4 linked regions of the Anolis sagrei genome follow. The protein of the gene in region 2 binds, or shares a complex with, the protein of the main gene of each other region. Links are inferred from orthologs where the notes say so. Each region holds a gene or a part of one and is shown on either strand. Other genes may lie near its edges. The genes, in order: CRIPT, CRNKL1, SNIP1 and RBM48.

Evidence for each region.
Region 1: CRNKL1 (region 2) and CRIPT share a complex: the UniProt entries of both Homo sapiens proteins name them as parts of the minor spliceosome. The link is inferred for Anolis sagrei from reciprocal best matches to the Homo sapiens genes CRNKL1 and CRIPT.
Region 3: CRNKL1 (region 2) and SNIP1 share a complex: the UniProt entries of both Homo sapiens proteins name them as parts of the minor spliceosome. The link is inferred for Anolis sagrei from reciprocal best matches to the Homo sapiens genes CRNKL1 and SNIP1.
Region 4: CRNKL1 (region 2) and RBM48 share a complex: the UniProt entries of both Homo sapiens proteins name them as parts of the minor spliceosome. The link is inferred for Anolis sagrei from reciprocal best matches to the Homo sapiens genes CRNKL1 and RBM48.

Annotation. Positions count from the first base shown.
Region 1 is NC_090021.1:26,646,292-26,653,324, forward strand, and holds the start of CRIPT (cysteine-rich PDZ-binding protein), read right to left. Parts: upstream 3,005-7,033; 5' UTR 2,902-3,004; coding exon 2,886-2,901; intron 1,031-2,885; coding exon 965-1,030; intron 1-964. UniProt on the Homo sapiens protein: As a component of the minor spliceosome, involved in the splicing of U12-type introns in pre-mRNAs. Involved in the cytoskeletal anchoring of DLG4 in excitatory synapses.
Region 2 is NC_090024.1:139,014,234-139,021,375, forward strand, and holds the start of CRNKL1 (crooked neck-like protein 1), read right to left. Parts: upstream 3,011-7,142; 5' UTR 2,956-3,010; coding exon 2,908-2,955; intron 2,472-2,907; coding exon 2,319-2,471; intron 1,535-2,318; coding exon 1,443-1,534; intron 1,335-1,442; coding exon 1,176-1,334; intron 1,026-1,175; coding exon 859-1,025; intron 1-858. Other genes in the region: CFAP61 (cilia- and flagella-associated protein 61), read left to right, coding at 5,247-5,401, 5,497-5,647. UniProt on the Homo sapiens protein: Involved in pre-mRNA splicing process. As a component of the minor spliceosome, involved in the splicing of U12-type introns in pre-mRNAs.
Region 3 is NC_090034.1:86,233,631-86,241,461, forward strand, and holds the start of SNIP1 (smad nuclear-interacting protein 1), read right to left. Parts: upstream 3,006-7,831; 5' UTR 2,914-3,005; coding exon 2,755-2,913; intron 1-2,754. Other genes in the region: DNALI1 (axonemal dynein light intermediate polypeptide 1), read left to right, coding at 3,145-3,225, 7,251-7,441, 7,552-7,721. UniProt on the Homo sapiens protein: Required for pre-mRNA splicing as component of the spliceosome. As a component of the minor spliceosome, involved in the splicing of U12-type introns in pre-mRNAs. Down-regulates NF-kappa-B signaling by competing with RELA for CREBBP/EP300 binding.
Region 4 is NC_090026.1:102,564,777-102,572,542, reverse strand, and holds the start of RBM48 (RNA-binding protein 48), read left to right. Parts: upstream 1-4,750; 5' UTR 4,751-4,779; coding exon 4,780-4,899; intron 4,900-7,766. Other genes in the region: peroxisomal ATPase PEX1, read right to left, coding at 1,048-1,191, 4,296-4,415. UniProt on the Homo sapiens protein: As a component of the minor spliceosome, involved in the splicing of U12-type introns in pre-mRNAs.

The sequences.
Region 1 (7,033 bases), on a different chromosome or scaffold from region 2:
ATTTGATCATTCCCACATTACCCAGTTAAAAAGTTTCTTAAGCAAGCTGCATCAGTACTTAGCTGTTTTGAGTCTCCTTGTGGAGAGAAAAAGCAGGGTATAAACCAGGAGTCCTCAAACTAAGGCCCGAGGGCCGGATACGGCCCTCCAAGGTCATTTACCCAGCCTTCGCTCAGGGTCAACCTAAGTTTGAATTTATTTGAAAGCACACAACAATGACAATCCTATCTCATCAGCCAAAAGCAGGCCCACGCTTCCCATTGAAATACTAATAAGTTTATATTTGTTAACATTGTTCTTCATTTTAATTATTGTATTGTTTTAAAGTGTTTTTTGCACGACGAATAAGATATGTGCAGTGTGCATAGGAATCCATTCATGTTTTTTTCAAATTATAATCCGGCCCTCCAACAGTTTGAGGGACTGTGACCTGGCCCTCGGTTTAAAAAGTTTGAGGACCCCTAGTATAAACAAACATAATAATAAGCTATCAAGGATACACACAATGTGATTCAAACAGACATAAAAGCAATCAAGGACTGATGTATGCCCATAAGGATTCTACAAAATATGGTGATTGTGTAATATGCAATCACTAAACAACTGAAGAGAAAATTAATATTAGAAAGCAATTTTATTTTGAACTGAGTTTTAGTAACTTTCAAAAAGATAGTCAGCCAGACACATAAACTCCTTACTGAGACTATGGCCTCATCTACACTGCTATATAATGCAGTTTGAAATTGGATTATATGTCAGTATAAACTCACATAATGCAGTGCAATGAAGTTAAACCGCATTATATGAGCTGATCAGTGTAGGGTCTGAGGTTTTCAAGCTTTTCTCTTTCTCTGAACTAATATTTAATTTTCTAGCCATATTCATCTCAACAGAAAAATAAGAGACTGTCTTAAATGAACACCAGGAACACATATCTATGTAGTGACACATGTTTTGGAACTACCTGTTGTGTTTCTTGCGCCATCTTTCCATGTATCAGGTGTAATGACAGTACCCAGTTTTCTCTCACCTATTGAAAAGTGCAAAAATACAAAGCAAAGATTGTGACACTCTGAACAGTTTTATAATGAAAACACATCAGAAATGTTGTTTACCCCCCTGGCGATACTAGTAAAACAAAGTAGTTCATTCTTTCAATTCTAGTATCATACGATGCTATAATGGGATGTGAAGGATGCATAGCATGAGTGTTACTCATATTTACTCAAAAGGAAATATTATTCAGATTAGTGAATGTACTGCCAAGTTATTATACATAAGATTGCAATTCCAAACGGACTTACTTAGGAGAATACAGTCAAACATATAAAGCCCACGTCCACCTTCCATTTCTCTTCAAGCCCCTATCCCTTGTTAATATTGTATTAACAATATGTGATATTGTTATAAGAATCTCATAATGTTTTCCTGGTTTATAATAATAATAATAATAATAATAATAATATATTTGTAACCCGCCCTTTCTCCCTGAGGGGACTCAGGGCGGTTTCCATCAAAAGTGGCAAACATTCAATGCCATAATAAAACAAACAGCAAATCAATCAGCATAATAAATAAAACATCAATATAAACTAATAAAAACTAACCAATACTACCCAAAAAGAACTTAAATAAACATAATATATCACATTACACACATTTACCAACATAATACGAGTAAAACTGAGTAGCTAAAATGCATTAAAATATGGAGTGGTTAACTGCTACCAACAGGACTGAGGGAGATTTTCAGTATCTAAATGAGAGTATACAATTAAGATATACTAATCTGCCTCCACTCCATATGCTAAAGTGCATAAATAGGTTTTTAAGGGGGGCATTTTTAGTTCTTTAGGGAGGGAGTTCCAGAGTTATGAGTTACTAAAAAAATTGTGCAAATTGGAAAAGGTTCTTTCCAAGTGTATATTCAGTGAGAAATCCTTTTGGAATGTAGGGTTTATGGTTTGTTTTATTTCATGTCAAAAGCATACCACAAATAAATAAGTATAAAACTGATAAAACAAAGAGAGCACAAGCAGTTAAATCATTGTAGATCAAAACCGGGAAACAACAACCACACTGTCTGTCGATTTAAATAGTTCTTCCGCTGTGCATGAGGCGGGGCATTGTGGGCAAGCATACAGATACGGAGTTGTTTGTTCTGCTCCACAATCGCACAAAGTGGAGGATTCTTCTAGGTAGTGCCATTTTGCCAGGTTGTCTTTTGATCTACCAACTCCGCTTCAGGTAACACTATATGATCTTCTTCTTGTTGTCCGAGTAGGATTGTCTTCCAAGATCGGTGTACTGGCTGTGGGTCTATATACGCATCTCCGTTTATGAACCCACGCGTTCTCTTCGCTCATCCGGAGAAGCCCTGCTCACGATTCCACCTGCGTCGCAGGCGCGTCTGGTGGGGATGCGAGACAGGACGTTTTCTGTGGTGGCCCCCCGACTCTGGAACACCCTCCCCAAAGATATTAGACAGGCCCCTATGTTGGCAGTCTTTAGGAAGAACTTGAAGACTTGGCTGTTCCGATGTGCCTTTCCAGAATAGGAAAACTCCAACAACATGTCCCAGAAGCACTTTATTAGACTTTAAGATTGCTTGCACACTGCACTTACCGCCCTTCTCACCCCAAAGGGGATATATCTGTTTAGTGCAGGCCTGGGCAAACCTGGGCCTTCAGGGTGTTTTGGACTTCAACTCCCAACCGGTAGGCTGTTAGGAATTCTGGGAGTTGAAGTCCAAAACACCCTGAAGGCCCAAGTTTGCGCAGGCCTGGTGTACGGGCTTGAAAACTGTCTCCATTAAGACAATAACAATAACAACACTCTATTATATAGTTCTTTCACAACTATATATCCCTGTCTTTTCCACTCACACTTTTCGCAGACCATGGCGAACCCCACTCGCGAAGCCAACAGCAGCGTCTCCGACAACAATACAATCCCTTCGCACTTCCGGCTTCCTGCCTCCGCTATTCACTTCCGCCTTCGTCGTATTGGTTGAGAACGCCTAAGGGGCGGGGAGAAGGCAGGACGCAAGGCACGTAGGGCGCGCGCAGGGCGTGGAGCGCGATGACGTCAATGGCTTCTCCTCAGTGATGGTGGTGGTTGGGAAAGGGGCTTGGAGGCGCCCTCTTGGATTCGGCCCACTAAGCCCCGCCCACTAGCAGCTGAAGGCAGACAGGTGAGCTTACCCTTTCCCCTCCACTCCCTGGAACTATAGAATTAATGTACTCTTGACACCACTTGGACTGCCCTGGCTCAGTGCTACTGAATCCTGAGAGTTGTAGGCCTTTTGAAACTACAACTCCCAGGATTCTATGGCCAGTTCAAATGGTGTCCAACTGCATACATTATACAGTCTGGAAGCACCCTCTCACTGGATTTTTATTGTAATGTAATACTACTAATAATGCAACTTGTATGCAGAACACATCATGCGATGTGCGGGGCTTAACAAATGCAAGGCTGAGGTGAAAATTGCTGGAAGAAACATTAACAACCTCAGATATGCAGATGACACCACTTTGATGGCCAAAAGCGAGGAGGAGCTGAGGAGCCTTCTAATCAAGGTGAAAGAAGAAAGTGCAAAAGCTGGGTTGCAGCTAAACATAAAAAAACCCAAGATTATGGCAACAAGAATGATTGACAACTGGGAAATAGAGGGAGTAAACGTGGAGGCCGTGACAGACTTTGTATTTCTAGGTGCAAAGATTACTTCAGACGCAGACTACAGCCAGGAAATCAGGAGACACTTACTTCTTGGGAGGAGAGCAATGACCAATCTTGATAAAATAGTGAAGAGTAGAGACATCACACTGGCAACAAAGATCCGCATAGTAAAAGCAATTGTATTCCCCGTAGTCACCTACAGATGTGAGAGCTGGACCCTATATAGCAGTGGTTCTCAACCTTCCTAATGCCGTGACCCCTTAGTACAGGTCCTCATGTTGTGGTGACCCCCAACCATAACGTTATTTTCGTTGCTACTTCATAACTGTAATTTTGATACTGTTATGAATTGTAATGTAAATATCTGATATGCAGGATGTATTTTCAGTCACTGGACCAAATTTGGCACAAATACCCGATACGCCCAAAATTTGAATACTGGTGGGGTTGGGGGTGATTGATTTTGTCATTTGGTAATGCTGGAGTTGCTGGGATTTATAGTTCACCTTAAATCAAAGAGCCTTCTGAACGCCATCAATGATGGAATTAAATCAAACATGGCACACAGAATTCCCATGACCAAGAGAAAATATTGGGAAAGTCTGGTGGACATTGACCTTGAGTTTTTGGAGTTGTAGTTCACCTATATCCAGACTGTGGACTCAAGTAATGATGGATCTGGATCAAACTTGGCACAAATACTCAATATGCCCAAATGTGAACACTGGTAGAGTTTGGAGAAAATAGACTTTGACATTTGGGAGTTGTAGTTGTTGGGATTTATAGTTCACCCACAATGAAATAACATTCTGAACCCCACCAATGATAGAATTGGACCAAACTTTCCACACAGAACCCCCATGACCAACAGAAAATACTATATTTTCTGATGGTCTTTGACGACCCCTCTGACACCCCCTCGCGACCCCCACTGGGGTCCCGACCCCCAGGTTGAGAAACACTGCTATATAGGGAAGGCTGAGCGAGGGAAGATAGACGCTTTTGAACTGTGGTGTTGGAGGAAAGTGGTGAGAGTACCTTGGACAGCGAGAAGATCCAACCAGTCCAAACTTCAAGAAATAAAGCCTGACTGCTCATTGGAGGGAAGAATAGTAGAAGCCAAGTTGAAGTACTTTGGCCACATCATGAGAAGAAAGGAAAGCTTAGAGAAGACAATTATGCTGGGGAAAATGGAAGGAAAAAGGAAGAGGGGCCGACCAAGGGATGGACGGTATCCTTGAAGTGACTGGATTGAGCTGGGGGTGGTGACGACCGAGAGGGAGCTCTGACGTGGGCTGGTCCATGAAGTCACGAAGAGTCGGAAACGACTGAATGAATGAACAACAACAAAAAAATACTACTAATATACGAGGGTTGAATGAAAAGTAATGCCTCCACCTTCATAACTCAACAGATGGTAGTCATGGTATGTGGCAGGTACTGGTTTGTTCAGTAGACCCTCCCTTGCAGTTCCATTTTGGCAGGAAGCCTTAGCATTGAACGTTAAAGTGCAAAGTATGGAACCCTGCGCAGACAGTCGGTCAATGCGACTTAAGCACCATGCAGTCATTGAATTTTTGACAGCAGAAGGTGTCACCCCCAAAATGCAAGCTGTTTATGGTGATTGTGTTGATGTGAGTACTGTGCATCGTTGGGTGAATAAGTTTAAAGACCTCACTACCTCTGAGGATGCTTGCCATAGATGCAGGTGAAACGTCAGGAGAGAATGCCTCTAGACCATGGCCATATAGCCTGAAAAAACTACAACAACCCAAGTTTAAAGATGTTGAGGTGGGAACATCTGACTTGCATGACAAAGAAAGATTTGGACGTCCTGTGACAGCAACCACCGAGTTTCACAAGCAAAAGGTTGACATGTATTGTCGAAGGCTTTCATGGCCAGAATCACTAGGTTGTTGTAAGTTTTTTAGGGCTATATGGCCATGTTCTAGAGGCATTCTCTCCTGACGTTTCGCCTGCATCTATGGCAAGCATCCTCAGAGGTAGTGAGGTGACTAGAAAAGGTTGACAGATTGATTCAGGATGATTGTCATATCACTCAGAGAAAAATTTCAAGCATAATCGGCATTTCACAAGGACGTGTGGGTCACATTATTGCTTTGCTAGGCTATCGGAAGATCTGTGCACAATGGCTACCCAGAATGAGAGAATGTGAGACGCTGGTTGCGGAAACAGAGCGTCGACTTCTTCCGTGACGGCTTCAGAAATTATGTTCATCGTTGGCAGAAATGTATCCAATTGTCTGGTGATTATGTGGAAAAGTGAATAGTGGTAGTTAAAAAGCACATTCTAAGGATTATATCTGCGTTTGATTTATTAAAATATTCCCATCCAAACACAAGTAGCGAAGGTGGAGGCATTACTTTTCATCCAACCCTTGCATTATATATAATCATAATAAAAAATGAAAATGTGTATGTGTGTATGCATATAGTACAATATAATATATGGTAATGTAAAAATTGTATATCATATATTGCATATGATATTACTAATAATATTGCGCTATAGTTGTAGTACAATAAAATAATATATAATTATTTATAAATGCAATAAATAATTAAAATACTAATATTGTGCTATGCTAATAATATAATATATTAAACAACAACAACAACAACTATATTTTATCCCACCCCATCTCCCCAGAGGGACTCAGGGCATCTTACAAGACAACAATACAAACCAGTGCAGCATAAAATATACAACAAAAATTGCAACAATACAAATGTATAACAAAAGAAATAAAAGTAAGACATAACAATTGAAATTTAACATAAATAAATTGGATCAATATATGTTGTGAATTTTATGTGCTTATTGTATTTTAGGCCATCATATCTTATATTCTTTATTGTTAGATCAAATGCTAATTTTTGATTTTTAAATTATTATTATTATTATTATTATTATTATTGGATGTTATGCCCCTATCATATTTTGTGCTGTTTTGTCGTATTTTCTTTCTTATTAGGCCAAATGTTAATTTTTGTTTTTATTATTCTTATTCTTATTCTTATTAATTGTGGGTTTTGTGTTGTTAGTATATTTTGTGTTGTCTTCTCTCATGTTCCTCATGGTAAATACTTAGGAACAGTGTTGTGATTTACTTTTTGGTTTTTAAAGTTATGATGATGATGATGATGATGATGATGGATATATACATAGGTCAAAGCATGCGGGTACTGGGTATGTATGATGGTTGGCTGGTATCATAAAAGCTCCAATGTGGCTTGGTTGACCTGAACCAAACTTGGCACACATATCTTTCATTATACAAATCATTTAGGGTTTTGAACTAAAAAAAAACTCCTTTCGGGTCTAGAGCAAA
Region 2 (7,142 bases):
ATGAAAAACAATACTGTACTGTTTGTTGGTTTTTAAGAAAGCAAGGAAGGGAAGTCAAGGAGACACAGCTCATATTTTTCTCCTTAATAGCTAATTTTCTGTTTGATATCAAAAAAACCAAAACAAAGGTAAACCAATAAGAGACAAATTGGAAGAAAGTTACAGAATATCTAAAAGAAAAGAAATATAAGATGTTAATATAGAAATTAAAAATCAACCTCAAATGAATGAAGGGGAGATGGAATGATGAAGGAAGAAAAAAAGAGAGAAAAAGTAAGGAAGAAGGAAAAGGAGGACACCTCACAGAAGATACTCTGGAAGTCAAGAAGATACATTTCTCTTTTTCATTTTTTTGTTATTTTTAATTTAAGGTATATTTCACTAGTTTTTTTTCCTCTTGTCTCTTCTATCTCCACCTTTTTCTTGTCTTTTCTTTACTTTTCTGATATTTTAAATCATGTTATAGAAAGATTTCAATAAAGATATATTTTAAAATAGCTAATTTTCTGTCTCCTACACTATCAAATAGGCAGATTTTATTATACTATGTAATCCAGTTTGGAAAAAAATCTATTTCTCATTGAGATTCTTATCAGATAATCATTGAAAAACTACAAATAAATTATTATTATTATTATTACTACTACTACTACTACTACTATAGAAAAATATGTTGCAGGATGTCCCACAAAAACAAAGTTTTTGCTGTTTAACAAACCTTTTCCATGTTTTTATGATAGAACCAATTAGGAAATAACATTTATAATTCAGGAACAAAAATCATGTTATATAGTGTTATTGGAAGAAAAAATATGAACAAATCATGAAGTTGACACTGGAATACACTGAAAAGGATATATCTTTCATAAATAGCCCGTGCTCTGTCCACCTCCTTGTATCTAAGCTCAAAGTTAATGAAGGAATGCCAAGCTTGTTCCTCTGGCTGCCACTCCATCCAGCGTTCAAACACCTGGCGGGTCCCAGCAATGTTTCCCAACATCTCTTCCATGTAAGTATATTTGTACCTATGCAAGTAAAAGCAACATAAGAAAGGGCAGTTCTGTCATCTAATTAATGAAGTGATTTTACACAAAAATACAGCAAAAATACATTTTCACAGGAATATTTATTTCAGTTTACTACTGTTTGAAAAGCACCAAACATGCTTAGCTTACCAGAACTGATTGACTCTTGGTAAAGTTGTGATGGCACGGTCCCAAATATTTCGAGAATGATTGACTTGGCGGTTCTTCATTTCCATCTCCGCATACTTTAGCCAAAGGGTGACATTTCGGTAGTCCACATCTAGAGCACGCTCGTAGATGGAACGAGCCCTGACAGCAAAACAGGGTTGAAATTAATGCATTTGAAATTCCAATCTTAAGGTAATGACCACTATTGGTTATTTATGCAGCAAATGATGCCCAAAGGGAAATAGTTACCTTTGTATTTCTTTGAGGCTTTCCTCCCATTGTGCGTACTTGATCCAGTTGCTAATAACTGTCCGATTTTTTCTTATGTTATCTTCAAAAGTCTATAGAAAAAGCATGGGGCAAATTTCTAAAATTATTTTTAGAGCAACAATAACTCTACTTCACTACACAATATGTCAACACAGACTATGTTTAGTGCTTTTCTATTCCCCATAGAGAAGTATTCAAACAAGTATTAAGCAGAATAAACAAAAACAGAATACCTCTAAGGACATGATTCAGATTAATAATTTTCAGAATCAGAAACGAGGTCAACAGTCCTTTCCTGCAGTGAAGTGCCAAGCTCATGATAGCCTTACGATAATATTCATGAGCAGCTACAAGGATGCTATTTAAGATGATGATGATGATAATGATAATAATAATAATAACAACAACTTTATTTTTATGCCCCGCCTCCATCTCCCTTAAAGAACTTGGGGCGGCTTGCACATGGGACAAAATGTCCACAGAACATCAAAACAAAACAATCCATTAAAACAAAAACCACAATTAAAATAAAACATAGCAAAGCATAACAATAAACTAAAACACAATTAAATAAAACATAAGGGTATAAAACAGCAGCATTAAAACTCACTCAAACAATACACAACAAAAACCAATAACCAAAATTCTAAGATGGGCATGATCAGGGTATAAAGAAGACCGGACCTAGGATAGTGCAAAACTTCAAGATTTCACTTTCTTTACATCCAATCATATTCTCCAGGAGCTTTGCTTTACAGGTTAATGTGTATTTTAAATAATGTGTATTTTAAGTAACTGTGATATAAGCTTAAATAAATGCTATCACAACACCAGTAGATCATAATATTTACTTACTTTTCTTTTGCGAAGTTTATAATCATTTAGTTCTTCTTCATCTGTGATCTTCTGTTGAGGGGGTGGGGGGAGTAGCTCAAGCTCTCTCTCCTTTGCTTCTCTTAAGAGCTGCTCTGCTGTGATCTGTACTTCTGCAGGGGCTTTGTTCTTTACCTGTGGAGGTATGGGATCAGCAAAAGTTAACAAATCATATGGAAATATTGAAATTTAGCCCATATTTACATTACAACACATGCACAAAACCACATATATACACATATTCACAAATATATACACACACAAAACACATATACACAGATTGGGCCACAGCAACGCGTGGAAGGGGACGGTTAGTTACTATTAAAACAATAGTTCTTTTCATTTTGGATGCAACCTTAGTAGCTGGCCCTGCTCAACCGAGTGCTGCGAAAAGGCCCCTCTCTCCCAGAAGAGCGCGGCCTCCCACTTTCCCTGCCACTTTCCCCCCCTCGACTATCCCCCTCAGCCCAAGCTGACTCCTTTTCTGTTCCGAAGTCAAGTCCCGAGGGGACTGAACCCCGAAGAGAAGCACACAGAAATAAGTGACCCTGCCATTGCTTCGCGCCCTCACCTTGGCTACTTTGGGGATCCGCTGCTTCCCGGCCGCCGTAGACGCCATTTTCGCAGCGCTTCCGACGAAGTCTCTACTAAGCTCCGCCTCCGCTTCCCATCATTCCGCGCGGCCGGCAAGCTCGACCTCTCCGTCGCCTTGGCAACGGGCACGCGCCGCGGTCCTGATTCAGAGCTCGAAGCCCAGCAGCACATTGAGAGGCCTCCCTTGCTGAAAGGTGAGTCCTGCGGGATGCTTTGAAGTGGGTTATCTCAGCCCACACTCAAGGCTCTTCCACACAGCCCTATATCCCAGAATATCAAGGCACAAAACCCCACTTTATCTAAGTGTGGACTCAGATAACGCAGTTCAAAGCAGATATTGCGGGATTTTCTGCCTTGATATTCTGGGATATAGGGCTGTGTGGAAGGGCCCCTAGAATCCCTGCCCATTGAACAAGATGGTTAGGCCTTGTATTGTCGAAAGCTTTCATGGCCGGAATCACTGGGTTGTTGTAGGTTTTTTCGGGCTATATGGCCATGTTCTAGAGGCATTTTCTCCTGACGTTTCTCCTGCATCTATGGCAAGCATCCTCAGAGGTAGTGAGGTCTGTTGGAACTAGGAAAATGGGTTTACATATCTGTGGAATGACCAGGATGGGACAAAGGACTCTTGTCTGCAGGGCCGTAGCCAGAAAAAAATTTCAGGAGGGGTTGAAATTTTCAGGGGGGGGTTTGAAATTTTCGGCCGTGGGGAGGGTTGAAACCTGCCTCCTAGCTCACGCTGAAGCAAAGAGCACAGCAGAGGGCAGAGCAGCCTTCAATAGCCTGCAGCTCCGCCCCTGTCAACCACCTCCACCAAGTCTGGCCTCCTTAATGAGAGCATTCAACATGCACACCCCCAACTTGGTTGCTTCACTACATCAGCTATTGCTGCAAGTAATGACAGTGTGAATAAATTGTCAATATTTGCTTGAGATAGTGCTTGCAGTTCTGGAGGGACTCTTAATTTTTTGCATCTCATAGACAGCATGGGGATTTGGTTAACCAGTTAAAATTCATGAGTAACCCAGGTTTTTTAAAAAAATCTGAAACATTTCGGGGGGGGGGGGGTTGAACCCCTAAAACCACCCCCTCGCTTCAGGCCTGCTTGTCTGTTGGAGCCAGGTGTGAATGTTTCAACTGACCACCTTGATTAGCATTTGTTGGCCTGACTGTTGTTTGAAAATCCAACAAATGCTATGTTCAGCAAAGGACAAGAGGGATCCTCTCACTTCTGCAGAAGTCTACCATGTACCATGCAGGTGTGGACAAGTCAACATAGGGACCACCAAACACAGCGCCCAAACACAGATCAAGGAACATGAAAGGCACTGCAGACTACTTCAACCAGAGAAATCAGCCATAGCAGAGCACCTGATGAACCAACCTGGACACAGCATATTGTTTGAGAACACAGAAATGCTGGACCACTCTCACAACCACCATGTCAGACTACACAGAGAAGCCATTGAAATCCACAAGCATGTGGACAATTTCAACAGAAAGGAGGAAACCATGAAAATGAACAAAATCTGGCTACCAGTATTAAAAAACCTCAAAAATTAAAACAGCAAAACAACAGAGAGGAAGCAATCTGGGACATCTAATCACCTCTCAACAAAAGATTGCCCCAGGCACTGCCAGGCCATCAAATGCTAATCAAGGTGGTAAGTTGAAACAATCACACCTAGCTCCAGCAGAAAAGAGTCCTTTGTCCCACTCTGGTCATTCCACAGATATATAAACCCTTTTTGCTAGTTCCATCAGACCTCACTACCTCTGAGGATGCTTGCCATAGATGCAGGCAAAACATCAGGAGAGAATGCCTCTAGAACATGGCCCACTGCACACTTCTGTCATGCAAGTATGTGTACAACTGAACTGCACAACTAGTTCAACAGCTAACCCTAAATTCCTGTCATAGAGGAATCTAGGGATTGAAGAAAGTGACATTCCTTACAAAACTGCAATGTCCGTGATAGCTGATAACATATCAACTGTTTTTGTATGGTTGGAAAAACTGGAAACCAATTGTAGAAAGTCATTAATGTCCCATGCATATTTATTAGAAACCTGAAGTGTAAGCATAAATCACACATTGCCTGATCTAATAAGTTGGGTTCATTTTGTAATAGTAAAAGAAGTTATGTGAAAGTGCATATAATTTTAGCCAATCAGTTTTATACATAGGACCATACTGCAAAAATTGGTGTCATTTTAAATTACTTCTACATTTTTGTCATTATTTTCAGTTTTGTCCTGGGCTATAACTCATTTGTCTGAAGAAGCATTTTTCCTCTTTGTGTTGCAGTTTAGAATATGACTTCATTATTACGTCTAACATCATCGTCTATTCAATCTACTGTCACACTCAGTGCCAGAAGAACAGAATCCCATGATATTCCTAATATTGTTGGTCACATGAAATATGATACAGAAAGACTTTTTGGCAGAGTCAATGTTATTTATCTTTTGTAAGTAACACAATGGTAACTATTTATCCTAATTAAAAATCCTGTAATTTATTTTTACTTGTTCCATCAATGAAATCTAAACATTTGTTTTACAGAGAAAAAGCCAACCTTGCAGTGACTGTGATTAATGAGAAGAATATACCTGTTGCTCATGCTGCATTTGTGGACTACCCCAATTGGGATTTTGTTGATGAGGCTCACTGGGAATCATACTTAGAAGAAAATTATGATAATGTTAGGTGTACGGTATGTAGGGAGCATTTTTCTTGAATGATGTAATCTTAATATTTTTCATTATTATGTATTTGTGTTGAGAAATTAGTTCAAGTCCAGCTTATAACATTTAATAGTCTTATCCAAGTGGCTAAATGTAGGAAAGTCTTTTATTTCCATTTAATGTCATTGCTGTTGCCTTGCACAATGCATTCTTGAATGCTGTTACTGTCAGGGGATGGAATATTGCTTGTGTTTAGTAATCTGACTTTAAGGCAAGTAGAAATGAACGCTCTTAGCTTTAGGCCAAAAAAAATTCTGCAAAGCTTTTATGAGAATATTGCTTTCACACCACATTTTACGACAAACTCATCAAAACTAGTGATGTGCAACCTCAAATCTCATGGTTAAGAATTCTGAAGTCCCCATGGGAAAATCACAGAAGAATAAAAGGGTGAAAAATAATCACAAAAATAATGGAAATAATAATAATAATAATAATATTAAAGGGCCCTTCCTTCCTTCTATTCTTCCTCCCTTCCTCCCCTGCCTCCCCAAACCCAAGGCCTGAAGGCAAATATTTTATGAATACATTTTTGGGAATATTTTTATGATTATTTCAGCAAACATTTTAATGAATATTTCTGCAAATATTTTTAGGATTTTTTTTCTGAAAATATATTTGTGAGTATTTTGATTATTTCTGAGAATATTTTTCCCAAATATTTCAGCATATATTTTTCTGAACATATTTTGTGAATATTTTTTGTGAATAATTCCTGGGAATATTTTTATGATTATTTTTTGAAATAATTTGTTGAACATTTTGTGAATATTTCTGCAAATATGTTACGAATTCTATAACTCTTTTTGTGGCTATGTTAATGAATATTTCTGACAATATTTTTGTGATTATTTCAGTGAATATTTCTGACAATATTTTGTATATATTTTATGATCATTTCTGTGAATATTTTTGTGAATATTTCTGCATCCTTTTGTGATTATTTCAATGAATATTTGTGCAAATATTTAAATCAATATTTTTGAAATAATTTCTTGAATAGTTTTTAAATATTTCTGCAAATATTTTGTTTAATGTATAGTTATATGCTATTGTTTTAGTTAGCATGCTTTGGTTTTGTATATATGTTGGCACTGAATCCTGCCTTTCCTTTGAGTCTCCCCAGGGGTGAGAAAAGCAGTATATAAATGCAATAAATAAGTAAGTAAATAAATAAATAAATAAATAAAGAGAACTCTCTTGGTGCACTGGGTGGTTTCCAATTCTACATCTTTAAAAAGTACCCAAACTGTCAGAGACAAGGTTCGTCCCATTGCAAGAAGGAGCAGTTCAACATAGCATGGGCTTCCTGTTGTTTATTTGTTTAACATGATGTCCAAACATGGCACTCTTTCTCTTGACGAGTCAGAGCAAGAGTTTCTTCTTATCTTATTTCTTTAATGTTCTAGAGAAAATATAGGTCAATGTGCTGATTTTAGACTTCAGAAATATTGTTGCAGTTTG
Region 3 (7,831 bases), on a different chromosome or scaffold from region 2:
AACAAAATTGTGTTATGCTAATAATATCATACATTGTATGTACATATAATATTAATGGTATTATAATGTAGTACAATATTATACAAATAATACTACAATATAATTACATATTTAATAGTACATGAAATATTCCTCACAATATTACAGTATAGTGGTATAGTACAATACAGTGACAGATAATACCAATATTGTGCTATGCTAATATAATATATTGCATGTGCACATTATACTGATAATATTACAATGTAATTTATTTTAAACGTCGTTGTGTTATTGTTAATGTTTATTGCTATTTTCTGTTAATGAGTTTTATTTATTGTTTGTATTACTGTTGCTATTGTTTTTATTGTTGTATTGTGGGCTCGGCCTCATGTAAGCCGCATCGAGTCCCTTGGGGAGATGGTAGCGGGGTACAAATAAAGTTTTTATTATTATTATTATTGTTATTTATTTCTCGCATTTTTATCCCGTCCTTCTCAACTCCTGAAGGAGGACTCAGAACGGCTTACAATGGGCCCCATTACGAAGCCATTACATAACAAATTACAGTAATTAAAACCACAATTAAACGTAAGAGCATAATTAACAATACATAAGCCATCATTAAAACAATAAGGCAGTCTCATCAGCCATATCGTCATTCCAGTCACATTCCTTTAAAGTGCTGCTTGCATCTATTGTCCAAAAGCCTGGTCCCAAAACCATGCCTTTAATTTCTTTTGAACAGCTAGGAGGGAGGTGGCCAATCTTACCTCAGTTGGGAATATGTTCCATAGGTGGGGGGCCACCACCGAGAAGGCCTTGTCTCTCGTCCCTGCCAGGGGCATTTGTGCTGTTGACAGGAGCGAGAACAGGGCCTCCCTGGATGATCTTAGGTTACAAGGTGGGAAGTAGGGGTGGATGCGTTTGGACAAGTAAGCTGGGCCAGAACCATATAGAGCTTTATAGGTCAGAACCAGTATTTTGAATTGGGCTTGGAGATGGACCAGCAGCCGTATTATTATATGTAGTAATAATAATAATAATAATAAACTTTTATTTATACCCCGCTACCATCTCCCAAAGGACTCGGTGCGGCTTACAATAGGCCGAGACCAATACAACAATATTGTAATACAATATACTACTGCCAATAATACAATATAATTACATATTTTATATTACGTGTAATTTTATAGTGGCCCCGCGACTCTGGAACTCTCTCCCTCTGGAGGCCAGAACCGCCCCATCCATCCTAACATTTAGGAAACGGGTGAAGACGTGGCTGTGGAGTCAGGCCTTCAATGAATGAGGCAACACCATAGGACCCTGGCTGGAAGTTGATGTAGATCCATCTTAATAGGACGACTGACCACTGTAGTTTTATATATTGTGTTTTTAAAGTTGTTTTTGTAATTGTGATATATGATATTTTAATGAGTGTAGATGTTTTTTATGGCTGGAAACCGGGCTGAGTCCCTCAATGAGGTTGAGAAGCTCGGTATAGAAAACTGTGAAATAAATAAATAAATAAATTATAGTATAGTGGTATAGTACAATATAGTAATGTATAATACTAATAATAATAATAATAATAATAATAATAATCTCAGTTCTTGTGGGTTTTTTCGGGCTATATGGCCATGTTCTAGAGGCATTTCTCCTGACGTTTCGCCTGCATCTATGGCAAGCATCCTCAGAGGTGAGGTCTGGAGCTGGGAAAAAAGGGGTTTATATATCTGTGGAATGACCAGGGTGAGACAAAGGGCTTTTGTAAATTGGGCTAGGTGTGAATCTTTCAAACGACCACCTTGATTAGCATACAATGGGCTGACTGTGCCTGGAGCAAACTCTTCTTAAAGGGTGATTAGATGTCCCTGCCTATTTTTCTCTCTGCTGTTTTTACTGTTGCAATTTTAGAAATTTTTTTTTAGAATTTTTTTTTTTTTTTAGATTCACACCTAGCCCAACTTACAAAAGCCCTTTGTCTCACCCTGGTCATTCCACAGATATATAAACCCCTTTTTTCTCAGCTCCAACAGACCTCACTTCTGAGGATGCTTGCCATAGATGCAGGCGAAACGTCAGGAGAAATGCCTCTAGAACATGGCCATATAGCCCGAAAAAACCCACAAGAACTGAGTGATTCCGGCCATGAAAGCCTTCGACAATAATAATAAACTTTATTTGTACCCCGCTACCATCTCCCCTGGTGGCGCAGTGGGTTAAAGCCCTGTGCCGGCAGGACTGAAGACCGACAGGTCGCAGGTTCGAATCAGGGGAGAGGCGGATGAGCTCCCTCTATCAGCTCCAGCTCCTCATGCGGGGACATGAGAGAAGCCTCCCACAAGGTTGATAAAACATCAAATCATCCGGGCGTCCCCTGGGCAATGTCCTTGCAGACGGCCAATTCTCTCACACCAGAAGCGACTTGCAGTTTCTCAAGTCTCTCCTGACACGACAAAAAAAAAAAAACATCTCCCCAAGGGACCTGATGCGGCTTACATGAGGCCAAGCCCAAAGTACATCAAACAAAACAATAAACACAACATCAATAAACAATCAATAAAATGCAAATCATATAAATCACATAAACAAAAAAAACCCCTAATATTGTGTTGTGCTAATAATATAATATATTGTATGTACATGTAACTTGTAAGCCGCTCTGAGTCCCCTTCAGGATGAGAAGGGTGAACAACACCACCACCAAATACAGTCAGAGGCTCCGGCCTGCCCGCCGCCCAGAAAGGCCCAGGCGGGGCCGCCTCGTACCTGCTTGACTCTGACGAGGCTTCGGCGGGGGCTCCGGCTCCTTTTCTTCCGCTTCTCCTTCGGCGGAGAGCGACTCCCTCCTCCTTCTCTTCCCTCTCCGGACGGGCTCCGCTTCCGGTGGTGGCGGCGTCGACGACGGCGGTCGGCCTCCTCCTCCATGGCGACTGTTGTGAAAGCGCCGGGCTCCTCTTTGCCTTTCTCTCACTCTCAGATTCCGGTTCCGGCTCTCAGAAGTGATGCGCATGCGCCCTTTTCCCCTTCGTGAGGCCGGCTCACGGCGGTGACGTCAGGACGTGCGCCACGGCAATGCCCTCCTGAGCTCGAAGATCGCCATGGCAACCGCGGCACAACAGGCCCGACGGGTGAGGGCACAACAGGCCCGCCGCCACCATGATTCCCCCGGCGGACTCGCTGCTCCGCTATGACACGCCGGTGCTGGTGAGCCGCAACACCGAGAAGCGCTCGCCCAAGGTCAGTAGGCCCCGGAAAAAGGGAAGGAGGAAGTGGAAGGGAAGAGGGAGGCTAAGCTAGGATAGGAAGGAAGAAAAGGAGGAAGGGAGGGGGGGACAAAAGGGAACAATATAATATAGTGTATATACATATAATATTTATAATATTATAATGTAATACAATATAATACTACTAATAATAATCTATATATATATAAATGCTCTGTGCATAATGAGTTCCTTAAAAACAAAAGAACCAATGAACGAAATCACACCAAATTTGGCAACAAAACTTCTCACAACACAAGGAGTGACCATCACTCAAAAAATTATGATTTTGTCATTTGGGAGTTGTAGTTCCTGGGATTTATAGTTCAACTACAATCAAAGAGCATTCTGAACTCCATCAACGATGGAATTGAACCACACTTGGCACACAGGACTCCCTTGACCAACGGAAAATACTGGAAGGGTTTGGTGGGCATTGACCTTGAGTTGGGGGGTTGTAGTTCACCTACATCCAGAGACCACTGTGGACTCAAACAATGATGGATCTGGACCAAACTTGGCACAAACACACAATATGCCCAAATATGAACACAGATGGAGTTTGGGGGAAATAGACCTTGACATTTGGGAGTTGTAGTTACTGGGATTTATAGTTCACCTACAATCAAAGAGCATTCTGAACTCCATCAACGATGGAATTGAACCAAGCTTGGCACACAGAACTCCCATGACCAACGGAAAATACTGGAAGGGTTTGGTGGGCATTGACCTTGAGTTGGGGGGTTGTAGTTCACCTACATCCAGAGACCACTGTGGACTCAAACAATGATGGATCTGGACCAAACTTGGCACAAGCTCTCAATATGTCCAAATATGAACACAGATGGAGTTTGGGGGAAATAGACCTTGACATTTGGGAGTTGTAGTTACTGGGATTTATAGTTCACCTACAATCAAAGGGCATTCTGAACCCCACAAATGACAGAATCGGGGCAAACTTGCCACACAGAATCCCCATGACCAACAGAAAATACTTAAGGCCATCCAATCCAACTCCCTTCATCAGGGCAAGAAAACGTAATCAAAGTCCTCCTGACAAAGAGCCATCCAGCCATAGATAAATAGATAGATAGATATGATTCACACACAGAGATATAGTATCATAGATTTGAAAGGGACCCAAAAGAAGGACTGTGATATGTTGTATGTTCCAGAGTAGGCAAACCAGACAATCTCGACATCAACACTGACAAAGAAACAACAAGAAATACTGTTTACCCACAAGCAGAAAGACATTACATATATTAGAAACCAAAACTTTCTCATTCCCTTTATTTTCCAGATCAACAGACTGGGCCAAAGCGACGCGTGGCAGGGGACAGTTACTTATAATGGGTTGTTGTAGGTTTTTTTGGGCTGTATGGCCATGGTCTAGAGGCATTCTCTCCTGACGTTTTGCCTGCATCTATGGCAAGCATCCTCAGAGGTAGTGAGGTCTCAACAAAAGATTGCTCCAGGCACTGTCAGGCCATTATATGCTAATCAAGGTGGTCAGTTGAAACATTCCCACCTAGTTCCAGCAGACAAGAGTTTTTTGTCTCACCCTGGTCATTCCACAGATATATAAACCCTTTTTCCTAGTTCCAACAGACCTCACTACCTCTGAGGATGCTTGCCATAGATGCAGGCGAAACGCCAGGAGAGAATGCCTCTAGACCATGGCCATACATCCCAAAAAATCCTACAACAACCCAGTGATTCCGGCCATGAAAGCCTTCGACAATACATTACTAATAATGGTATAGTACAATATAGTAATACAGGGTTAGTCAAAATGCATAGGCCAATAAGCCATTCAATTGAATGGCTTATTGGCCTATGCATTTTGACTAACCCTGTATATAATACCTATATTGTACTATGCTAATACTATAATGTATGTATGTATATTAGGCTTGGGCGGTTTCGTTCGTTAATTTCGTAATTCGTTATTAATTCGTATTTAAATTAGCTTACGATCCAATATTGAGCCATGCAGGACTACTGTGAGGAGTAATTAAAAATCGAAACAATTTTTCCAATTTATTTCGTATTGTTTCGTAATTGTTTCGTAATTGGTTCAAAATTGTTTCGAAATTGTTTCGTAATTATTTCCATATGTCTGGTGCAAGTTTTATAGTTGTTTGTTTTATCAGTGATAAAAAATAAATTATCACACCAACAGTCAACAACAGAGGGAGAGGGAAGCTTCAGAAGTTCCCCCTGTCCCATTTGGAGGGTTTTTTAGCATATTGCGCAATCGCGTCCGCCATTAACGATTCGTAATTTTACGAAATTTCGTATATTTTGAACTTTTTTAAAGTAAAATTTCGGAATTCTTTAAAAAAAACGAAACGCAAGGGCCCCCCTAAAAACGAAACGAGTTTAGAACCAAATTTTTCTGTGGTTACCCAAGCCTAATGTGTGTGTGTGTGTGTGTGTGTGTGTGTGTGTGTGTGTGTATAGATCTATCTTGTAAGGCGCTCTGAGTCCCCTTCGGGTGAGAAGGGCGGCATATAAATGTCATAAATAAATAAATCACTTAATAAGATAGGAAGGAAGGAAAGAGAAAGGGAATAATAATATTAAGGGAAGGGGGAAGAAAGGAAATGAGTAAGGATGGATTGATGGATGGTATTAAGGAAGGAGAAGAAAGGGAGGGAAGGTTCATGAATAGGGAAGGAGGGAAGACAGAAAATGAAGGAGAGGTAATAATAATAAAGGAGAAAACAAGGGAAGGGAAAAGGAAGAAAGAAAGGAGGAGAAAGAATGGGAAAGGATTATAGTAAGGAAACAAAGGGATATTGGAGGAAAGAAGGGAGGGAAGGAAGATGGATGGATGGTATGAAGGAAGGAAAAGAAAGGGAGGGAAGGGGAGAAATGGGAAGGAAGACATAAAGGAGGGAGGGAATAATAAGGAGGAAAAGAAGGGAAGGAAAAGAGGGAAAGGGGGAGAAAAAGATTCTTCTCCCCCCCCCCCCTTTTCCCTTTTCCCTCCCAGGGAATGGAAAGAGAATAGAGAGAAGGGGGATAATAAGGGGGCGGGGAAGAAAAGGAAGGAAACGGAATAAGGAAGGAGAATGGATGGATGGTGCGAAGAAAGGGGAAGAGAAGAATAGAAGTGGTCGGCAAAGGTTGTCCTCTCTCGCTAACTCTGCCATGGTTACTACAAAGGAGGAGTTGGAAGAAGGGTTACTTCTCCCACCTCCAAATTGGGCTTTAATAGGGTGGCGGGTTAAATCGCTGAGCTGCTGAACTTGCTGATCTCAAGATTCGCAGTTCACATCCAGAGAATGAGATGAGCTCCCGCTGTTAGCCCTAACTTCTGTCAACCTAGCAGTTAGAAAATATGCAAATGTGAGTAGATCAATAGGTACCACTCCAGTGGCAAGGTAACAACGCTCTATTTAGTCATGCCGGCCACATGACCTTGGAGGTGTTTATAGAAAACACCAGCTCTTTGGCTTAGAAATGAGCACCACCCTCCAGAGCCAGACACAACTAGACTTAATGTCAAGGGGAAAACTTTACTTTATCTTTAGGGAGCAAAAGCAGGTGCAGCCAAAGATCAAAGAAGCAGTCACTGCTTCAGAACAGAATAAACAGCAACCCAAGTGGACAATGAAAGTCTTACCACTCTCAAGTGGGAGCACTTGAGAAACCTGCATAAATAGCTGAGGTCTGGAATATTTAGCTGTGGGTAGCAACATCAGTTCATTGGTTCTCAGTAGCAGCCTTGAGCATCATATGTCTTGTGCCTTGAACCCTTGAAAGATTGACTGTACTTTGGAAGTTAGTGTGCGGAATATGTTTTAGCTTGCAGCCTTGGTATTGGTGAGACAATTTGGCTTTGAACATTTTGGAAAGGACTTTGGACTACTCGTGTATCTCAGCCTTCATTGAATGACCTCAGACTGCTTTGGATTACAATACAGTGTGTGGCTGTTTAATAGTAATTTGGTGGACAGGACTGTCTCTGTTTCTCTGCCTGCCCCTTAGGCCCATCCGCTGAAGGCCACTGCTCCGATTCCACCACCACCACCTCCTGCGCCTCCACTCCCGACGCCGCCCCCCTCCGCCCAAGGCCCCGCTCCACCGCCGATCCCACCTCCAAAGGGCAAGCCCCCTGCCCCATCCCTTGAGGCCGGGAAACACGCTGATGAGATCCTCAACGCCATCCTCCCGCCACGGTGAGCCAGCACTGGGGCCCCTTGGGAGCCTGGGCGGAGGAGGGGAGAGGCAGAAGGACTGCCTACCAGGGACTGACCCACTGGCTCTTCACCCCACTCCACCCCGGCAGAGAATGGGCAGAGGGGAACCAGCTGTGGACGCAGCAGGTGTCCAGTACGCCCAGCACCCGTATGGACGTGGTCCACCTCCAGGAACAGCTGGACCTCAAGCTGCAGCAACGCCAGGCCCGCGAGACCGGCATCTGCCCCGTCCGCAGGGAGCTCTACTCCCAGTGCTTTGGTAAGGAGGTGGCAGGGAGGGAAAGGGGGAAAGTGGTGGGGCTAAGATCTGAAAAGTGGATTTTACAAGAAATTTAAGAATAGGTTAAAGAGAGGGGAGTAGAGAATGAA
Region 4 (7,766 bases), on a different chromosome or scaffold from region 2:
AAGAAAGAGAAAGGGAGGTAAAGAAAAAGGGGGAAGGAAGGAAAGTTAGAGGAAGAAGAAAAGGAAAGAAAAGGAAAGATGGAAGGAAAGAAAAGAGAGACAGCAGAAGAGAAAGAAAAAGGGGGAAGGAAAGAGATAAGAGAAAGAAGAGGAGAAGGAAAGATGGGAAGGAAGGAAGGAAGGAAGGAAGGAAGGAAGGAGGGAGGGAGGGAGGGAGGGAGGGAGGGAGGGAGGGAGGGAGGTAAAGAAGGAGAGAAAGAGGGAAGATTGGCCACAGCAACACGTGGTGGGTCAAGGTTGTTATTTCTATTATTATTATTATTATGCTATTGTTCCTCTGAGACCCTTTTAGGGGGAATGGGAGAGGTGTCAGGTCCCGGAGGCAATGCATTGCATTATTGTTATTGTTATGATGGTGGTGAAATAAAAGGAAATAAAAAGTGAAAGAAGGAAGCAAACAGGGAGGGAAGAAAGGCAAAGGAAGAAAGGGGGAGGGAATGAAGGAAAGAGAGAAGGATGAAACCAAGTAGTGAAAGAAGGAAAGAAAGAAAGAGGTAGAGAAGGAAGAAAGGAGAGAAAGGGGGAGGAAAAGGGGGAAGGAATAGGTAGGGACCTCTCTTTCATAATAGTCCAGATATCTACCTCAACTTTGATAAGTTTTACTATAGGCCACAGCAACGCGTGGCAGGGCACAGCTAGTGTACCTATAAAGGTGAGGAGAGGGGAATGTAGTCACTTTTGCTCATATAGGGCAAACACTCCCCCTGCTGGTTAGACACCTCTGACTTCTTCCTGGTAGAAACTGAATTAGTACACAATCACATAGTAATAGAACAAGCGCTACAATGAATGGCATAGTTCTGTACATTTCCTTAGATGGGATACACAATGTCCTTAAAAGGGAATTTCCACTAGGAGGCAAATGGGCGGTAACATTTAAAATTAACAAAATCCACATGCAATGGCACAATCAGGATTCTAAATCACAACAACAACAACAACAACAACAACAACAATTTTATTCTTGTAATATTCTAAATTTCAAACCTGTTGTCCATCTTTGATGCCAAGTTTCTCTGCTAGCTGTCTGTTTATTTCAACAATGTTGCCACTACACTGACGACAATGCCTGATTTCTGTCCAGCCCAGGAACACAGTCTGATTGTCCCAGGAAGTTTTCACAGCTTGATCCTGTTAATTCCATTTAAAATGAGAGAAAGGAGAGGGAGTAACAGCATGCATCACTCATTATTCTTTGTCTGACATCAACAAGTGGCTACAGATACAGTACTTTTGTAACTTGAGTCTATGAATGCTTATCGTAAGGGCATTAGCCTCCTAGCTCCACGCTCAGATTGTCACACTTTCCCTTGGCTCTATGTAGGAATTTGTTGCACTTAGGAATCATTAGTCCGAACCCATCATTTGTTGTTCAGCCATGATGTTGTTTGATTATGATGTTTTTATTTGTTTTTGCTGTTGTTGATGATTATATTTATATGCTTGTTCTAACCTGTTTTGGTGGGCATGTCCCCTTGTGCACTGCCTCGAGTCCCTTCAGGGCGATGGAGTTATTACTTTTATTATTATTATTATTATTATTATTATTATTATCTATAGAGTATTAACATTTCCCAGATGTTAATGTTTCAGAAGAGTTTCTGCTTCCTTGTTTTCTCTGAACCTTTTCCTTGCAGATTCTTTCTGTCAAAAAGATCCCCCATAAGTGTTTTCTTTGCTGTTTTAATTGTGATATTTTACTTGTATATTGCTTTCCCAGATGCAGCGTAACAGGCAAATATGGAACTATGGAATGACTTGACGATGGGACTGGAAAATGACTTTAGTAAGAAGATGCTGATGATTTATGTTTTTATTGCTTTTATATGGTTTTTATATTATATGCTAAATGTTTTTAACTGTATTTTACGTCTGGTGGGGCATCGAATTATTGCCGACTGCAAACCGCCTTGAGTCACTTTCGGGCTGAGAAGGGCAGTATACAAATCATAGAATCATAAAGTCACAGTGTTGGAAGAGACCTCGTGGGTCATCCAGCCCAACCCCCTGCCAAGAAGCAGGAAAATAGCATTCAAAGAACCCCCGACAGATGGCCATCCAGCCTGTTTAAAAGCCTCCAAAGAAGAAACCACCATGACACTCCGGGGCAGAGAGTTCCACTGCTGAACAGCTTTCACCGTAAATAAATAAATAAATAAATGAGACAGTGAAACGCTGCCCCTCTTTTCTCACTCTCATGCAGTCCATAGGCACCAAGGGACATTTTTAAATTCTTCCAGTCTCTAAAATTTTAGGGATCATAAACTACTATTGGTTAGTTTGGTTGCAACAGTGCACTTGAAACTTTGTTGTGGGATTGGGAGCAGAAAACCATCTCACTTCATGATCCTTTGTTTTGGACTAAGAGGAGGGCGACTAAAATTATCAAGGGTCTAAAGAACAAACCCTATGAGGAGTGGCTTAAAGAGCTGGGCATGTTTAGCCTTCAGAAGAGAAGGCTAAGAGGTGACATGATGACCATGTATAAATAAGTGAGGGAAGTCATAGGGAGGAGGGAGCAAGCTTGTTTTCCGCTGTCCTGTAGACTAGGATGTGGAACAATGGCGGAAAGGAGATTCCACCTGAACATTAGGAAGACCTTTCTGACTGTGAGAGCTGTTCAGCAGTGGAACTCTCTGCCCCAGAGTGTGGTGGAGGCACCTTCTTTGAAGACTTTCAAGCAGAGACTGGATAGCCATCTGTTGGGGGGCAGGGGGGTGGACTGGGTGGCCCATGAGGTCTCTTCCAACTCTATGATTCTATGACTTTACACTGAAATAATAACAATATTATAGAACTAGTGTGGCCTGTTTTTGGAAATGTTAGAGAATTGCATTGCTCTGTGCAGTACTGTCATGAATGACTTTTCAATAACTTTGAAGCATAGGTTCTTTTTATTGCAATTTCCAGTGTAAGAAGGTATATCAGATTACAGAAAAACATTTAGACAAAGAATGACATTAGACATACAGATTCTATGCAACTACATTGGATTCATAACTACATGGCTAACAAACAAAGGGAATTACATTTTCACTCAGCATTCACACCACATGCACACACATTCATCCTCATGCACCCAAATATTACCATATAATTTTCTCCCTCCTTGGAGAAGCACCTGTTAGGCCAGACCCTGCTTTCCTGCAGCCTGCCAATACATAGTTCCATAACCGCATTGAGTCGCCGATTTAGGCTGAAAAATGCGGTATAAAAATAAAGCAAATAAATAATAAATAACACCAAAACGTCTTTTCCTAAGAACAATGCCAAGAACCAGATCTCTGTTTTCAATACAGCAGAACCTGCCTCCCTGCACAAAACCTAAGACTCCAAAAGCACACTTCTTCCTCTTCCCTTGAGAAAGAAGCCCCAAAGTGACCAGACTGCTCCCGTTCAAATCTGCCACTATCCATTGGTTCACTATCTCTCTCCTTCCCATGGAGCAGAGCACAGCGGGTGAACCAGATTCGTCAGGTTGGTCACAATTTGATCATTATTAGACTGAGTCTTTTGTAGGAATATTCTGTTGATGTAGTCCCAAAGTTGTAAATTAATGATAGATGTCTTCCATCCTGGATCCATCTCAGTTTCCTGGCCAGATGTTGACTCTTCTTGATTGGCGATGGCAACCACAGGGCTTGTGTTGAATTCCTTCTTAACATAAGGAAGATTGCAAACATTTCCTTTATCAATGTCCCAGTTCTTATCAGGGTTTCTCACTAGCAAGTCCAGCAAGCAAGTAGTTAGTCATTGCAGGCCTGGGTCTTTTACTGGTATTTCCAAAATTATTAACTCCATACATCCTTCCATTCATTCCCACACATCATATTAAATTCATATTTGTCAAATCTGCACATTGAATTTCTTATGACAGTACAACTAGTAAAGCATGAACGTAGAATACTCTTAAGGCGGGCCTGGGCCAACTTGGGCCCTTGGGGTTAGCGGCTGAGGGGGGAAAGGAAAGGGCCTGAGGCTGTTAGGAATGGTGGGAGTTGAAGTCCAAAACACCCAAGGGCCCAAGTTGGCCCAAGCCTGCTAAAGAGTTGCTATAAATAGGAAACCAAAGCTCACTACGAGGAGGCAAGGACCACGGCTAGGCCTTTCCTGTTGCCAGGCAACGAGATGCCAGGCTAGGAAGGAGGCTGCCCAAAAGAGAGGCCCGGATGTCACCTCAGGGACACGGAAAGCGAAGTCCCGGATGCAGCCTCCCCGTCCCTGCCCTCCTGTACCTGCTGCAGACGGAGGCTGGAAGCCAAGCCAGGCGGCAGGTGCAGGAAGCAGTCCCGGGCGCCGCTCAAGGAGACAGTGGCGGCGGCGGCGGCCACCCCAGGCCCGCCCGCCCCCCACATGGCGGCCTCCAAGGCGGGCTGGGTGTCACACGAGTGGGCCGCCGAGCTCCTCTTCCGGCTTCTCCGCTCAGGCCAATGACATCCAGAGGACTCCTTCCAGCCCGTCGCTTGTGATTGGCTTTGCTCCGCTCCGGGGGAGGAGCCAATGAAAGCGGGCCATCCGATTGGTGGTCTGTGACAGAATGATGTTTACAACTTGCCTCCCGTTCCTCGCTTGTGATTGGCTGGGGCGCTTCACCCCCCCATCTAATCCTTTCCTCCAATACCGCTCGCCTCTGGGGCGGGATCAACGCAAGCTCATCACTGGATTGGTTGTTGTTGACGGGCGGAAGAAGCCGGAGCATGAGCGGGTCGGAGGGAAAAAATGGCGACTGAGAAGAGCAGAGGCGGTGAAGTCGGGGGCGCCCACCAGCACCACGCGCAGCTGGGCATCTGCGCTTCGCGGGCCAAGTATCGCGAGGGGCGCCGTCCCCGCGCTGTGAAGGTGAAACGCCATCCATTCTACGCGCAGCACAGCCACACCGAAGCATTGGAGCGGTTTGGCACCGCTTTCGTTGGCATGGCTCAAGGCGATGGGATCATGGGAGTTGTAGTTGGCACTAGAATTGAATTTTATCTCTCACACAAGACTACAAACCCCAGAATTCTGTAGCACTAAGCCATGGGGGTTAAAGCGGTGTCAAACTGTTATATCTCTGCAGTATGCTTGCGCCCCTAATTTCTAAATGTAGTGTTTACTAATCCCTGGCCTTCCCAAGTTAGAATCATAGAGTTGGAAGAGGCCTCCTGGGCCATCCAGTCCAACCCCCTGCCAAGAAGCAGGAATATTGCATTCAAAGCACCCCCGACAGATGGCCATCTAGCCTCTGTTTAAAAGCTTCCAAAGAAGGAGCCTCCACCACACTCTGGGGCAGAGAGTTCCACTGCTGAACGGCTCTCACAGTCAGGAAGTTCTTCCTCATGTTCAGATGGAATCTCCTTTCTTGTAGCTTGAAGCCATTGTTCCGCGTCCTAGTCTCCAGGGCAGCAGAAAACAAGTTCGCTTCCTCCTCCCTATGACTTCATCTCACATATTTATACATGGCTATCATGTCTCCTCTCAGCCTTCTCTTCTTAAGGCTAAACATGCCCAGCTCTTTAAGCCACTCCTCATAGGGCTTGTTCTCCAGAACCTTGATCATTTTAGTCGCCCTCCTCTGGACACATTCCAGGTTGTTAATATCTCTCTTCAATATCTCCCAGAACTGGACACAGTGTTCCAGATGTTGTCTGACCAAGGGAGAATAGCATTACTTCACTGGATCTAGACACTATAGGAAAGGGCCTGAGGCTTTAGGAACTGTGGGAGTTGGACTCCAAAATACCCACAGGGCCAAAGTTTGCCCAGGTCTTCTAAAGAGTTGCTATAAGTGGGAAACGAAAGGTCACTACGAGAAGGCAAGGATAACTGCTAGGCCCTTCCTGTTGCCATGGCAACAAGATGCCAGGCTAGGAAGGAGGCTGCCCAAAAGTTTGCCCATGCCTGGTCTTAGGTCTGGGTATGAATCATGTCCACCGTCTTCACCTTAGCATTAGGATTCAGTGCTATCTGTGTTTTGGTGACTAGCTGTGAGCTGTATCACACTATATGATATTTATTGTTGAAAGTTTTCATGGGTGGAATCACTGGGTTGTTGTTGGTTTTTTCCGGCTATATGGCCATGTTCTAGAAGCATTCCCTCCTGATGTTTCGCCTGCATCTATGGCAAGCATCCTCAGAGGTTGTGAGGTCTGTTGGAACTAGGATATTTATTTATCATATCAAAAGCAAACCGAGGGTACAGCTGTAATGTAATTAAAAAAACAACAGAAGAGTTAAAAAACTTGGCATTATACTGTTAGAGACCCTAATTTGGGACTTAATACTAAGGTCTAGGCCACGGGAGGCGCAAGGAAAGAGGCAGTCCCAGGAGGAAGATCAAAAGCAAAGTTTTATTCTTTCATGATCATGAAGGAGTCGGACAGTCGTGTAGGACACGCGCAGGCGCCCACACTTCATAAGGACTGCCGCGCCTCCTTGACAAAAGCAAAGCTTTTATATAGTCTGGTAAACAAGAGTATTTTTGTCATGGAAAGTTACCCGGTGGCGCAGTGGGTTAAACCCCTGTGCCGGCAGGACTGAAGACCGACAGGTCGCAGGTTCGAATCCAGGGAGAGGCAGATGAGCTCCCTCTGTCGGCTCCAGCTCCTCATGCAGGGACATGAGAGAAGCCTCCCACAAGGAGGATAAAAACATCAAATCATCTGGGCGTCCCCTGGGCAACGTCCTTGCAGACGGCCAATTCTCTCACACCAGAAGTGACTTGCAGTTTCTCAAGTCGCTCCTGACATGACAAACAAACAAACAAAAAGGTGTCTTTACTTCTGCTCCTCTTAGTCTCTCTCCTATCAATAGTTCAAAACATAGGTTTGTGCACTTTGCCTGGTTTCCTGTTGTTCTCAAGGTGTTAGGCTGTCAAAACCACAATTTGTTCTCTACTTGCAGACTTCGGTGTCGCGCCAAACCGCAAACCAATTTCCTATATAGCTGAGCATTTAGCAACTTAATAGTTTTCTTATACTTATTCCTCCTTCAATACTAAATGTCCTTTGACCAGTAGCTGGCCACTTGGAGTACCTCTAGTGTTGCTGTAAAAAGATCCTCCTTTGTGCGTGGGGCAGGACTCAGGCTGCATTGTAATACATGGTCTGTGCTTTGCTCTTCTCCGCACTCGCATGTCATGAACTCCACTTTGTAGCCCCATCTCTTAAGGTTGGCTCTGCACCTCGTGCCAGAGCGCAGTCTGTTCAGTGCCTTCCAGGTTGCCTAATCTTCTGTGTGCCCAGGGGTGAAGTCTCTCATTGGGTATCAGCGGAGGCTTGAGATTCTGGATCTTAGCCTGCCACTTTTGGACTCTTGATTGCTGAAGTGTTCCTGCAAGTATCTCTGTAGATCTTAAAAATTTTCCTTGATTTAGCGTTGGCGTGCTAGTTGATATCTGAACAGAGGATGAGCTGGAGATGTCACTGCCTTGGTCCTTTCATTACTGGCTGCTACTTCCCAGCAGATACGAGATGGTAAAGTACCAGCTAAGCAGTGTAATTTCTCCAGCAGTTCTGGGTGTAGGCGTCCTGTGATAATGCAGCACGTTTCATTAAGAGCCACATCTACTGTTTTAACGTGGTGTGATATATTCCACACTGGGCATGCATATTCAGCAGCAAAGCACAAGGCCATGAGACATGGGAGAAGCCTCCCCGCAGGATTGGGTTTCATAGGGTATAAGTATTACAATTAAAGTGTAATCTTGGTGCTAAATAATGTAGTGAAAC